Drosophila melanogaster: one gene and its partners. The protein of the gene in region 2 purifies or fractionates together with the protein of the main gene of each other region. This does not show direct contact. Each region holds a gene or a part of one and is shown on either strand. Other genes may lie near its edges.

What was found.
Region 1: the proteins of Tim10 (region 2) and Atf-2 purify together in Drosophila melanogaster (affinity purification with mass spectrometry, with the first as the bait; one large-scale study listed by BioGRID). This does not show direct contact.
Region 3: the proteins of Tim10 (region 2) and CG6276 purify together in Drosophila melanogaster (affinity purification with mass spectrometry, with the first as the bait; one large-scale study listed by BioGRID). This does not show direct contact.
Region 4: the proteins of Tim10 (region 2) and CG34149 purify together in Drosophila melanogaster (affinity purification with mass spectrometry, with the first as the bait; one large-scale study listed by BioGRID). This does not show direct contact.

What each region holds. Positions count from the first base shown.
Region 1 is NT_033778.4:24,868,342-24,872,060, reverse strand, and holds Atf-2 (activating transcription factor-2), read right to left. Parts: upstream 1,954-3,719; 5' UTR 1,852-1,953; coding exon 816-1,851; intron 763-815; coding exon 653-762; 3' UTR 572-652; downstream 1-571. Other genes in the region: CG16896 (uncharacterized protein), read left to right, coding at 1-352, 416-571.
Region 2 is NT_033778.4:21,689,646-21,692,801, forward strand, and holds Tim10 (translocase of inner membrane 10), read right to left. Parts: upstream 1,495-3,156; 5' UTR 1,465-1,494; coding exon of another isoform or gene 1,427-1,464; 5' UTR 1,356-1,426; coding exon of another isoform or gene 1,196-1,355; 5' UTR 1,144-1,195; coding exon 993-1,143; intron 830-992; coding exon 702-829; 3' UTR 570-701; downstream 1-569. Other genes in the region: CG10307 (uncharacterized protein), read left to right, coding at 1-223, 282-542; CG42497 (uncharacterized protein), read right to left, coding at 1,196-1,355, 1,427-1,464; CG42496 (uncharacterized protein), read left to right, coding at 2,051-2,335; Ppcdc (phosphopantothenoylcysteine decarboxylase), read left to right, coding at 2,351-2,525, 2,590-2,729, 2,787-3,047; CngB (cyclic nucleotide-gated ion channel subunit B), read right to left, coding at 3,125-3,156. UniProt on the Drosophila melanogaster protein: Mitochondrial intermembrane chaperone that participates in the import and insertion of multi-pass transmembrane proteins into the mitochondrial inner membrane.
Region 3 is NT_033777.3:15,317,661-15,321,659, reverse strand, and holds CG6276 (uncharacterized protein), read left to right. Parts: upstream 1-1,590; 5' UTR 1,591-1,746; coding exon 1,747-1,833; intron 1,834-1,894; coding exon 1,895-3,220; 3' UTR 3,221-3,457; downstream 3,458-3,999. Other genes in the region: ear (ENL/AF9-related), read right to left, coding at 56-242; CG44040 (uncharacterized protein), read right to left, coding at 1,053-1,235; CG14866 (uncharacterized protein), read right to left, coding at 3,522-3,999.
Region 4 is NT_033777.3:22,378,313-22,381,814, reverse strand, and holds CG34149 (uncharacterized protein), read right to left. Parts: upstream 1,688-3,502; 5' UTR 1,649-1,687; coding exon 1,614-1,648; intron 1,560-1,613; coding exon 677-1,559; 3' UTR 562-676; downstream 1-561. Other genes in the region: CG43342 (uncharacterized protein), read right to left, coding at 1-230, 291-386; CG18596 (uncharacterized protein), read right to left, coding at 2,002-2,149, 2,211-2,381, 2,450-2,971, 3,035-3,502.

The DNA of each region.
Region 1 (3,719 bases), 3.2 Mb from region 2:
TCGCGAGGAAGAGCGCATCACCTGCCAACGGAAAATGCTGCTCACCTACCAAATGGAGGTGCGTCGGCGCAAGAGCGAGGTCATCACTAAGTTACAGGAGTCTGAGCAGCGACGCAAAATTCTGGAGATGGAGAAGGACATGGACCTGCTGATGCACAGTATTGAGCGTGAGCGTCGGCGTCACAACCAAGAAATGCAGCTGGCCGAAGATGAAATTCGTAACCAGGAGATGGAGCTCCTTGCCCAGCGCTACTACTCGGATACGGAGGGTGCTCCACTGGCACAGAAGTATTACGACAAAATCCAGAAACTTTGCTATCAGCGTGATCAGCTGCAGAAAAACTTGCGTGATGTATGTGATAAAAGATTTTAGATTGTATTCTGTGATCTCCTAAGTCTACTTTCTTCCGAACAGATGACCATGGAACAGCTGCGAACTCCAGCAACATCATCTGTGCAATTTAGTCCCCAGCTGGTGGATATCGAGAATTCCATTTTTGAGATACAGAGAGAGTTTACGGAAATCATAACCACAGACAAAACATTGGAGTACAGAAGGAATTTAACTTAACTGAGGCTTTTTTGTACGAATAAACTACAAGGCTAGGATTATGTACATGGCACTAGAAAATAAATAAACAAGGCATATTGGTTATTTCTTGGCCGCGCTTGCGTTGCTGGCGGACGAAGGCACTAACACGTTGGGCACATTGATGAGCAAGTGTATACTGGATGGTGGAATCCGCAGCTGGTCGGCCACCACTATAAACGAAAATAAATTAACTTAACTTCAGGAATGGTTTATTAAAGCTTACCGCCAGCTAAGCTGCTGTGACTCCTGTGCTGCTGCAGTTCCTTTTCTAATCTGGAAATTCTTTCGTGCAGTTCTTGATTCTCCTGCTGCAGCTGGGCGTTCTGTTTGATGAGGTCCTTATGCTCGTTTCGCATCTTGTTACGGTAACGAGAGGCTGCTGCTCTTCGTCGCTCCATACAATCCTCGTCCCGACTGCGATCCTTTGCTTTCGCAGCCTTGGGCGGTGTGGAGAAACTTCGTCTGTTATTATTGCTGTGGATAATGGCCTTCAATCGCTCCTTGATGGGCAGCTGTGAGGTGGGCGTCAGACTGGCGCTACTGGGCTCGTTATTAGGTGGGTTGCAACTGACCAAAATAGGCTCGGGTCTTTTACTGGTCTTGTTTAATTCTTTCGCAGTGGGTTTCGGCAGTATGAAGGGATGAATGGCACCAGTCGGCTTCACCCTGTTTCTGTTACAATCAACTGTAGCGATGGAAATGGGAACTGACTGCGCAGGCAGCACCCATGTTAGGACCTGGGGCTGGATCAACTGCAGCGGCGGCGGACCATCTTGACTGGCTTTGGAAGGCGAGGTAACTGTCGTGGCCAGAAGCTGGTCCACATCCATATCGCCGCAGCTGACACTTTGTGGGACCTGATTTTCAGACGGAACTGATACCACGGTGGGGGCCTCGACGGGATACACCTGGGGCGTGTGCAGGGACTCACCGTCATTGGGTCGAGCCTCTGGGCGACTCGGAGTGCCGCTGACATTTCGCTCCGCTGCTTGCTGGAATCCAATGTCAAATGGATTTACGTGCTGCAGGTCCTCGAAGAGACCCACCTCGTCGCAGTTCTTGATGAGTCGCGTAGGCGTGGGCGTTTGGTCGGCGGCAAATAGAGTGTCTGACTTCTGCCCGAGAGAAATGTCTAGCGAAACATGTTCCGTCTGTGCCCGAAAGTTCTGATAGCAGGATACGTCGCCCTCTGGGGATTTTGTCTCAAAGTCGCCGAAGGACACACTGGCCAGGTGATCCATGTCTCCGGCGGTGTCCATGTCAGAAGTTACATCAAAATCATGCTATTTACAAATCAAACTCCATAATCTGCCGACAATTCTCAATTAAAACAACTATTTTGTAAATCACATTAGCAAAACAAAAAATAAAATTGTTATCGATGTATGGATGTGTTATTGAACCTATCGGACTCCATTAAGAAACCAACTCTGGCTGCAGTGCTGGAAAAGGTACTAAGTTCTTCTGCCGTAATTACGATGTAAAATGTATTTTATTACTGGTAGAACAAAGATCATAACGTAGAACTTAAAATAAATCAAATAAATACTGAATAATCTTCATTGTGTAACAAAATAAGTAAAGGAATTTTCAAACCTCGATATAATGTATATTTTATATGTTGTTTACCTTAGCACAGTAGTGATGTGTGCAAACCGATATATCGATACCGCGAGTGGGTGCAAAAAAGGCGCGCGAATGTTTTCAATTTGAATCTGGTTACCAATAAATACTGTGTGTAAAAAATACCCCTCTGTCATGAGACCCTTATTATTCCTAGCCTTTCTGTGTTTGAAGCTGTTATGCAACCACTCTTGACATTCGGCATTTCCGCAACGAAATTGCGTATCTGCCATCGCATCCAAAATGCCAAAATGCGAGTCTTCGGCACGTAGAAGCAATCATATGTGAAGAAGAGGAAGGTAAAGCGAAGAAAAAACATCGAAACATTTTTGGTAGCCAAGAAAACCCCATAATTTAAAATTTGTATCTTTTAAATTAGATTTCTCATTGGAGGAACAAGCAGAAAACAGACAGCGGACAAAACAACACGCAAAATGATTTCAAGCCGCTCGCATTTTGGGAAATATGCACGCAACGAAACGAGCAATTTTCTAAAACTCTGCCGCACAAAAAGCAGCAGACTCGACTTGTGGGTCAAGTTCAGTGCTTAAATTGTTCCCAGCGAGAAGATGGAGGACCCCTTCCGGCCCTCGTCCTCGTTGTTCACCACCACTCCAATCCGCTCCGTTTGCGAGGAGGAAGGGCCGCAAGATGCACAGCATGAAAATTAAGAAAAAGTGATGCGTAATTACAGTCATTCTCTTTCACTGCAGCCAAGCGGGCTATTCCACACAGCCATACCCTTGGCCATGTCCCGATCTCGATCCCATCCCATCCCATTCCATCCCATCCCTGCCACGTTGCATGCAACGGACGCGCGTTTTTCGGACAGCGTGGTCCATGGTCCATGGAGCTATGGGATGGAGATGGGTTCCGATCCTCGGCTCTGGATTCTCGTTTCTCGGACTGCGCTGCTGCCGGTAGAAACAATCAGTTTGAAGTTCGTTCGCATAATTATGGGCAATTTTCAAAGAACATGCGTTCCGATGAACATCTCTCTCTTGCCCGCATTCAAAGTATCCATACCCATCAGCTCCTTTTCCTGCCCCACCGCCACATCCTTTCCATCATCGCACTGCAACCTCGCCATTTTTCTTACTGTCCGTCGGTCTCTGTGGTTAGGATCAAGTGGCTGAGTGCACAAAATTTTTTTCCAAACTTGGAATAGCTTGCGATCAGGCTAAAGTAAAGCTTGAGAACAAATGTTTGAATAAGTTCCATAAGAACTTGAATTTTATTTGAAAAATATGTAATATAAAGGTATAGCAGTCCTCATAGTGATACATTGGTATTTAAGACTTGACCAGATTAACCATTCCATTTTAGCAAAGACACGTTTGGCATGACCCTAGCGTTGGTTACCAACTTGATGATCAGGTTTCTGGCCCTAGGAAATTTGCAAAGGAGTCAAGGACCGCAATTGGCCATAACGGCATGTGCGGCCTACAGGATCCGGCTGGTATCCAGCTCAGAGGATCACACTGTCCTTTCATAAATATTCAAA
Region 2 (3,156 bases):
GTTGCTGGGAAATTTGGTGCATCTGAATCTTAAGGGGAATCGATTGCGACGGCTGCCCAGGATGCTGATGGCCATGCAGAAGCTGCGGTTTGCTTTTCTCAACGAAAATTGTATTGACGAGATGCCCACGCGGTCACAACTGGAGGAGTTGCGGACTCTTCACATGCTCAACCTGTCCAAGAATCCCATCAGCCTGCACCGCGATCTACAGCTAATGGCTTTGGTGAAGCTCCAAATTAACCTTTGTGTTTCTTTTTGTTGAATTTCTCTGAATTTTACAGCGCCAGACGAACCTTTATGTGGAGCTGCCGTCAGATCCCGCCAATATTTGCGATGGTCTCGCCAGTCGAGCTAGCCTCAACGCCCAGGAACAGCAGGAGGATCAGGCGCGAGGAGCAGGACAGGATCTAGACTCCTCCGACTGGGCGAACAGCGTGCGGACCAGCGAACTGGACACAACGGACGAGAGTGCGCTGGAGAACAACATCGAGGATCTGAGTGTCATGCTGCCGGAAATGTCGCGCTTTGTCACCACCTTTTGAATGCATTAATCTGTGTCAACGAGGTCTGATATTATGTAGCACACATAAATCTGTGGTTTATTCTCTACAACGGGGTGTTTTGTACATGTACCTCTAACAATCGTAGCGCTTCAAAAATGCACATTGGTTAAGCGGAAATGTGGGTTAATGGGTGCCAGGTTAACTAGACATCTTCTTCATCAGCTCCTCGTCCTGCATGGACATGGCCGTCAGCTTCTTGCCGATCTTCTCGTGAATGTCCAGATATTTGGCCACACAGCGATCGATGCACACCATCTCGCCTTTGCCTGTAGGGTGCGGAAAGCATTAAAATTACAAGTGTAGAATTGTGGTACAAGTTTCAAGATTTCTATTTAAATTTCATCAATCGAATCAAAGAGAAACCTGAAGTGATTGTCATAGAAAGAGCTGCGAACTAGATACAGCATTCTATATGGCTATGGTACTCACCCAACTCCGACTCGGAGTAGCGCGGCGGAATGCACTTTTTGTGGCAAGCGTTCGTCATGCGGTTATATAAATCGGACATCATTTCGATCTCCATTTCCTGCATCAGCTGCAGCTTGGCCTGGTCTGCGGTGCTGATCTGGGGCAATGCCATTGTGTGGGTGTGGGTGTGTTACTGATGGGTTTTAGGTACTGGATGCTGCCGCTTAGTAATCGAATCGCCTGTCCGATGCTGCGCTTGAGTCGTAATCCCCTTGGTTTGCCTTCCTCATGCGCTCACGCACTCGCATGCTCTCGTAACGCCGGTTCTCAACGGATCTCTTTGACAGCACAAATGCGTAGACGCCACCCACGGTCAAAACAGTCCTGTTTCGGGATTTTCAAACACCATGTAGTAAAGCTAAGTGTGTGTAACTAAAAACGATTTTTCTACAAACCAACAGACAGCGATTCGCCCTGCGTTGCCCAACGACATAGCCTGCTACGAAAAAACGACACACTAACGCGTTCCGTTGGAAGGTGTGCGGGATTTTTTATCACTGGCACGTGTGACAGCTGTCACATAGGGTTATTCCTTTCAATCGAAGTCACTGTATTGGGAAACTGTGATTTGAGTTGGTTCGGAATCAGAGTGAATCTGTATTGCTAGGTTGATTTGTTTTCTGGAACTGTACTTATTTATCACTTAATCAGCCAAATTACTTTATATGTTTGTCAATGGCTTTAATATAATTTAAAAATTGCAAATTTTAAATGCTACATGTTAATTATCAGTATCAGTGATAAATATGTTAGCAACATTGTGAGTATTTATTGCTTTAGCATATTTAAGATTTTGAATTTCATACTTGAAACCTTATTCATTTTTTTATCTTATAAGATTCTCAATATTTAAGTTCATATAAGATTTGAAAGTGACCTTTGTAACTCCGAATGTTTTTCAACTTGTGGTTCCCAACATTCTCTGGTCACACTGACTTGCTGTTTACACAATTATTTCGTAATTTTAAGTCATATTTTATCAATGAATTAAGATAAGGAGCGAGCAGAGCAACTCACAAATGACTTCGCAGATCTACAGCCAGAAGAAGTTCGTGCCCACGCCGCCCGAGAAGGGTTCCTTTCCCCTGGACCACGAAGGTCTCTGCAAGAAGCAATTCCTCCTCTACGCCAGTTGTCTGCGCAAGAACGCCCAGGATACGAGCCAGTGCCGCCAGGACGCCCAGAACTACCTGGCCTGTCGCATGGACAACAATCTTATGGAGAAAACCGAGTGGTCCAAGTTGGGCTTTCACGACCAGAGTACCAAGACCGATCAAAAAGAACCGGAGGTGCAGAAGCAATAGCCGGCATTGTGAGCCATGAAACCCGAACGTAATGTGATGATAGCGGCCACCGGAAGTGTGGCCACCATTAAGTTAGCCCAGTTAATCCGAGAGCTCTCCGACGAGCGCCTACCCTTTAAGTTCCACCTGAAAGTACTTATTACCGAAGCAGCCAAACACTTCTTTGAACTGGAGCAGATTCCCGAAAATGGTAGGTTGTCTAAATCTTCGGGTATTTGTTAACTTTAACTAACAAACTATTGCATATATTGTAGTACCCATTTACCACAATCGCGACGAGTGGATCACCTGGAACAAGCGAGGAGATCCTGTACTCCACATAGATCTAGGCAAGTGGGCGGATTTGTTGGTAATAGCCCCACTCAGCGCAAACTCTCTGTCCAAAATGGCCACCGTAAGTTTGGGTCGACATTTTACCCAGAACATTATTTCAGTATCTTTTTTATGACAGGGGATTTGCGATAATATCGTCATGTGTGTGGTGCGGGCCTGGGACCTTGAGAAGCCGCTGCTCTTTGCACCTGCGATGAATACCCGTATGTACGACCATCCAATAACTCGGGAGCAGATCGACAAGCTGACCAGTTGGGGCTACAAGGAGATACCCTGCATATCCAAGACTCTGATGTGCGGTGATACTGGCAACGGCGCCATGGCGGAGGTACCCACAATTGTGGAAGCGGTGTTATCCGCCTTTCAGCCGATTAAATAGTTATGCACACAAAGTTTATATCGCAGAATATTTTGTTACAATAGTTAGACAAATAATATGGAATTGGCTATGAAATCTTAGAGATCCACCACCTTCATGTCCTCCAGGG
Region 3 (3,999 bases), on a different chromosome or scaffold from region 2:
CGGGTAACAGAGTTAATCCGACTGAACTACTCCCATGATATATCGCCGCATTTACCTCGTTTGGGTTTCGGAAAGGATTCGTGCAGCACAAAGACCACCTTCTCCACAAAAGCACTGATGTCCGCCTTGTTCACGCCCTGAACGTAGATCTCCCAGTCGTGCGTAAAGGCCTGCGGATGCGGTGTCTTCTTGCTGCGCAGCTTCGACGTGTGGCCAATTTCGAATTGCACCTTGACCGCCATGCCTGTGGGTAGGGCATCAAGTTCCAGTGATTGCCTGCAATTAAGTGGTGAATTAAGATGCTACGTATTAGCGCGCCAAAACCAATGCAACTCGAGTGTGCAAGCACTTAAGCTTGATGCGACGTAAACAAATGATCGCCAGTTATGTGGAAAGGCCCAATGGATTGCCAAACGAGGTGTTAGCCAAGTATTGCGCTCCTTGCTTTCGCTTCAGTGTGCATGCGTGATTTCTAATGCGAATCCTGTGGCAGGTCACGTCCTCCAAGTCTGCGCCTGGCTTTGGAAACCTTTCAATCGGTCTCAGGATGCCCGCACTAGCTACCACATTTTGAATATCCTTTGATAACCGACGTTTTTTGTTATGATTCGCTTTGCGTTCAATTTGTTATTGTTTGTGAGCGAATGTGTGCCACAATGTGGACTTTTCATGTTGCAAGCTTTCGCCGTGTTTGTGGTTTCCTTTAGCCACATGCCCCCACCAGCCACGCTTTATACTTACTATCGCGCCGTGCGGCATTCACATGGAGATGCGCACAATTTTCAGAAAAAACGTAAAAGCTTGGAGCCAGAATCGAAGTAAATTTTGGAAAAACACAGAAAATAAAATCCAAAATGGTAAAGTGTGACCAAAGTTCGGGGCACCAAAAAATACACTTGAGTCGGGTAAAATATACTAGAATATGCGTTGCGTTTACTTTTTCTAGGGTGGCTCGTGAAATTAGTTTTAAATATGTACATATATCTAGTTTAAATTCATTCAGATTTTTAACTCGATGCATTTTTTAAAGAATAGAGTGCTTTATTTGTTTCTTAGTAGAAAAAGTATAGTTTCTTGCCACATGGTCCTTGGGGCCCATTTCCGCACGGAACTGGGGATGGTGCCGCCGAAGTGGTTGAAGTATCAGAGGAGGCTTCCGTCGTGGTTGTCGAGGTGGAGGATGCAGCGAATCCAACGATGGCGCACAGAAGGAACAGAATGGCGAAGAACTTCATCTTGATTACTCTTTTGTGACTGTGATATTTTCCCGGGGATAGTTGCTCAATTTTATACCTTTCATTTTTAGATTTGCAAATATTGACACAAATGCTTCAATTCCGCCTATGTACCAAATATCAAGAGAAAAGAAACAATTCGGCAAACACTGCGTGGTACTTAAATAATGTGTTTTGTGTTTGTTTAGAAATAGCAACACATGGAATTTCGCTTTTTGCCACTTACAGGTTAAGCTTTTAAGCATAGCACGCGGATTCAGACAAGATGATATATATATGGGAAATTTTTATATTGCATGATCATTGTTTTTAAGGAACCCGCATAAACCAAAATAGTCAGCAAAAGCTTCTGTGATCCGGAACCAGTTCGGCCGCCTGTTTGGTTCACAGCACTTAAAAGAACACTTGGGAAAAACAATAAAAATATTTCGCAAAAGTTATGGCGAACGCTGGATAAGTCAGCCAAAAATTGAATCCATCGGAGCGACTGCCTTGGAGCCACAGCCCACCCATGATGACGACCGACTTCGCGGGCAGCCAGTTCGTGTCCAGCAATCCCAACACCAGCTGTAGTGCATCCCGCTGGCTAACGGAGGAGGTATTTGCATGGATATGCAATTTGAAAATGATTTGATTCACATATTTCTGTTGTTCTGTAGGTCTTTAAACTAATCGAAATTGTGCAGCGCGACGAGGCCATCTACAATCCGAGGCACAAATACTACTTTTGCCGCCCGTACGTGGAGAACTTTTGGCGCGAGGTGGATTTGAAGCTGGAAAAGAATCCGGGCGCCAGTCTGGCCAAGTGGACCAATTTGCGCATCTCGTTCCGACGAGAGTACACCAACTATCTGGAGGAAAAGGTGCCACCCTGCTGGTCCTACTTCGACCGCATGTTCTTTCTGCATCCGTATCTACGCAAGAAGCACCAGCAGCCCAAATCGCTGGACACACAGGTGCAGGACGCCCTGGCACACCTCTCGAACCTTTCTAGTCGTATGCAGCGTGAGCGTTCAGTGACCATTCCGGGCAGCAGCAGTATTGGTGGCCAGCCCACGCCCTCCGCCCACCAGTCACCACCTGCACAGCAGCTGGACAACTATCTGGACTACTTTGACGAGGCGGAACACAACAACTCCGAGCTGGATGACATCATGGAGGAGGAGCAGCAGCGCAACAGTCGTTACCACGGCCAGTTGGACGGCAACGACATTAAGTCGGAGTGCGAGGAGCCGGTGGATGACTACGAACAAGAGGCGCACGAGCCCGAGGAGGATGAACAGGATGACCAGGACCTACACAAGATGGCGCCTACTTCTAGCTCTTCATCGGCGGAGGCCCAGCGTCGTTATGCCAACCAGCATTCACACGCCAGCCGAATGCTTCCGGGTCGCCTCCAAATGCGCACCTACCATGACGAGATGCGTGGCGCTATTCGTCCGCGTTCCCAGGAACTCCAAGCTCCAACTGCAGCAGTGGCCGGGGTCAACTACTCCGCACAGCCGACTGCCCATCCAAACATTTCGTTTGTGCGACCTACTTTCAGCAAGCCCGTGGATTTGGTTAGCACTACAACGCACGCCGGAGGCGGAGGAGGAGGAGGTGTTCCAGGAACTGCTGGCTTATCCGAAGCGGAACTGCCCACACCATCCACTGCGGCCGTGGCCACCCCGATGGCGCCCAGTAGTAGTGTTAGTGCCAGCAGTAGCAGTAGCTACTTGAGTCAACGGCATGGGCACAACCATATGCATGGAGGACATCCACAGGTGCCGCCGTCAGCGCTTCCTCTGCGTTTGGAAGCCAACAACGCGTCCGGCGGATCCGTGTCCAACGGCGGTGCGGAGCTGTGCGACTGCAAGACCGATCCGGATGCCATGTTTCTGATGAGCCTGCTGCCCGACATCCAAAAGCTGAACGGCCGTGATCGCGGCAAGATAAAGATAGCCTTCCAGAACATCCTGCAGGACTACCTGTATCCGGATTAGCGTTGATCTCTGTGTATACCTTCCGCTTAACGCAAACGGAACCCAGTTCCAGTATCGATTTTGTTTAATATTCTCTTTTGTATTTTCGTTGGAGAAAAAAAAAGAATCCTTTAAGCTTCGCTGTGCAAGAACAAAGTATCCTTAAAAACGTTTTGAAAACTATCCGGTATGTTTATTAATTGTATAAATATTTATAAATATTTAATGTGTAACACAAGAATAAATTCATTTGAAATTATGCGATATATGGCTAGGTAACTTGAAGTATCACATGAGGATCGGAATGGGTTGCATCCCATCCTCACTCGAACAGCTTCAGCTCGCGGGTGATCTTCTTGATCTTGTTGTCCAGCGTCTTGTCCTCGTGCTCGCAGATGTAGTAGTGCCGCGAGGTGCACTCCTGTCCGTAGTACACATAGCTGTGCTTTCCGGCATTGTAACTTAGCCGTAGGCAGCGACCCTTGCCCTCTATTTGCACCGTGTTGTTCAGCACATCCTCGCCGGTCGCCTCCTCTGCCGCCTGCTCCGAACTGTCCACCAGATTGGCGGCCGTCGAGTTCTCCCCCTTCTGGGCCATCGCAATGGATGTGAGATTCATGTTGGGATTCACCGGCTTAGCCGAATTGGACCAGATCCAGAGGAGGCCAGGATTGAGACCGCCCAGCCAGTAATCGCGACCACGATGCGTCGGCTGATTCAGCAGATAGGCCATGATCTCCTCATTCTCCGAGACCTTCTCGAACTCGGCCAGGTGGGAGTTTAGACCCTTGCAGGCAGAG
Region 4 (3,502 bases), on a different chromosome or scaffold from region 2:
TTTCTCTGAGGAACAGGGGAATCAGCCGCCGGTGGAGCTGCATTTGGTGAAGTGACTTCATCTCGCTGGGAGCTCAACCTTTTGAAGTACGCCGACAGCACTTTACGGTCTTGTTCGATGCTCTCGACAAGTTCCTGGCGGTTCTGCGGCGTTGGCCTTGAGTAGGGTAGCTGTCTTTTCTGTAGGGCTACGTTGTTCCGTTTGATGAGTAGCAAACTTTTCCTCTCGGTCTGCAAATGCATAATTTCGTTTAAATATTTGTAAATTTAAGGGCAACTTAGTAATTATACCTCTATATGATCTTCTTTAATGTATGAAGCTTTCTGCTCTTCGTTGTCGCCATTTTCAGAGGTCGTTTCATCATACACATTTGAAGTGTTCCACATTCTTATGTTATGAATATTTTGTCACTTAAGCCTTTAAATTGCATTAGCTGCTTCAAATTTAATAAACATTGGAAGAAAACACAGCCGCGCTTTGGAGATGGCAGTAGCAGTAGCCTCTAGCCTATCGATAAACAGTCCGATACCATTTCTCGCACCTATTTTGAATAGTTTGATTCGTATATCTAACAAATAAAGTATATTTGCATTGATCTTATAAAAATCGATAACATTTATTTTTAAATTTAAAATTAATGTATGCCTCTAAATTCATGCTGAAGGACAAGGGATTGTCATGATGGGCGCAGTGCGAGCGATTCATTAGCTTGAGGGTTTGGATTCAGTGCGTCCGTTTGGCTGGTTTCACTGAGGCCGCGAAGCTCGAGCTCACAGATCAGCTGCGATACTCGCATCTTGGCTTCCGCTACCAACTTTGGCGAGAGGGCTTTCACGCTGGAACTGACGCTTTCGAAAAACAGATCCACATGATTCTTCTCCTTGGGCGGCGGTGTGTGACTTAGGGTCCTCTGGCTTCCCATCAGCTCGCGGAAGGATTCCATGAGTTCGTTTTTGTCCTGGTGGATCTGCATTAGTAACTTTATGCCCTCCTGCTTAGAGGCAGAAGAGGAGCTGTCACTGCAATTGGCATGGCTTGACGGGGGTTCGGTCATCTTTGTTGTGACCTCTGTCTCTGATAAGAACTCCTGTTTGGGTACTGTCACCTTCTCACTGGCTGCAGAACAGAGGCTTTGATCAGCAATGGCCATCACGGGCATAGGCTCTGGAGTGGAAGGCGGCTCCAACTCGTGGTTCTCAGCCAAGGGCTCCATCACTACCAATTTACGCTGGTGATAGTACTTGCTACGCTGCTGGCGAATCCGGAACTCCTGGACCGCCGCGCCTTCGCCCTTTGTGAGCAGAGCCTCCAGATTGCGCTTGTGCTTGGTGGTTCGCTCGTGCCGCACCAGGTGGCATCGATTGCAGTCCATGGTGCACTGGCAAGCGCGGCAGAATGGCTTGTTAGGATCCTCGGCCGCCCGTCGGAGCCATGGATCGAAAATCTTGAGCCACTTTTCGCAGAACTTCTGGTTATATTTAGGTTTCAGAGTTCTGTGCTCCTTGTCCAGCTTTAAAGATTTCTTAGCAGTCCGCGCCTTTAGCATTTTGTCTGTCTTCCTATAAGCGAAGCATTCGTATAGAATTTGAGAGTTTCCGGCCTCAAGGACTTACCATTCAGAATCGGAGGTGTTTTCCGAGAAGCTCATTTTCGTCTTTTCGAAGTTGTTTACAATGGGTTTGTTGTGATGTTGTGATTATAGGATCAGCTGTTTCAGGCAAGCGTCATCGGTAAATACTGGTTATCGATAACAAGGCGCGAAACTTTAAGAGAATGAATTATATTTACTTCGATTAATTCACCGAAGGCAAACAAACACATTTAAAAAAATAGAAATAATACTAATAGCTAGTACAATTAAGTTTATATAGGTAATTTATTTTGGGTGTATTTTTTTTAAGATATATACAACACAAAACATTTATATAGTAACATTTGTACAATATTTTTAGGTATTTACTTTATTTGTTAAAGGCATTTGTTGGTGGTCAAATTATGAATTTAATTTAAGTGCTGCTTACAATATTCCCAAATAAATAGTGATCCAGCCACATGTACATTTAGAGAGCGCACTAAGCCATACTGGGGAATTTCGACGGCGTAGTCCAAGAATCCAATAAGGTTCGCTGGTATTCCATGTTTTTCATGCCTGAGGAGGGATGCAGAACAATAAGTTTTCAAAAAATACGCCCAAGATGTTGATTACGAACCCCAAAAGAAGAATGCTTTTCTTGGGAAACTTAAAGTCAACAAAGTTTGTGCTGTGTGCAGTTTGCTCGGCGCCAACGATTTTATAACCCTCCATTTGCTTTTCCAGCAGAAATCCAGCAAGCGATTCTGGATTCACTTCAAGTATGTTTAAAGTTTTCTCAGCAGTCATGCTAAAATAATATAATTATAATTATATAAAGCAATATAATAGGGCTACCGCGATGTTTGACGTGCATACCTCAAGTTTGTAAAATCGCTTTTCTCCGCCTGTGATTTTAAACCCAATATTAGGGTATTAACGCCCAGAACTTCACAGGTACGCGCCAATCCGCCCAGATTTGGCAATTTGTCTATGAGCGAGGCCACCACAATGAGTTCGTGGTCATCTCTAGCTTTGTTCGAAACAACAAAGTCACTCTCCGGATATATATCTCCGACGGGATTCATTTTTCGCTGCACATTTCCGTTTAATGCAGCCAAGGACGTTGCAAGCTCAGGTATCAAAACCGATTGTTTCCGTTTAAACGTTTCAAGGGCGCGCTTTAGTTTCATTCGAAAGTCATAGGAACAACTAATAAAACTGATGTTTTCATCAAATGGTGCATTCGTCATCATCAGAATGCAATCCGAAACGGATGTCGGGCATTGTTTGCCTAGTTCTGGTAACAAAAGTCGAGCTTCGCACTGAAACTCAGTTAATTTTTCGCTCAATGTAACCTTGATGGATTTCTTCAATGCATCAGCTATTGGCATTTGAATGCTAAAAATATCAAAATATTAATAAAATTCGGCAACAAGTAGTATATAATACTAATTTCATTACCTTCGATCCTCGCACTCGCTACAAATCCGATGCAAAACCAATTGGGCCAGCAAACGAGTCTGAAAATTTGCTCCCATTGTGAGAGGCAACAGGACGGCAAATACTTCGACAAGCTGTTCATGTTGTATGCTTTCCCAGCGAGTCAAGCAGTATATGTGGACTACAGAGACAAGCGAAATTTGCTGGCTCGGTTTTAGAGTTGCCAGTAGCTTTAACTGCTCCAGCAATAGATCGATGCTTGGCAGCATTTTGGAGACAAGGTACTCGTACATAAAGCTAATGTTAGGCTGATCGCTAGGGCACAAGACGGCTTCCCACAGGTTGTCCGACCACTTCCATCTGTCGCTTAGGTCGAGCAAAGCTTTGCCTATTCGCATTTTCATTCTGTGCTCTTTGCAGTTTGCAAAATAGCGTGGTTTTTTTCTGGACAGCTCATTGTTCATTCTAAGCAAATCGTCACAGATGAAG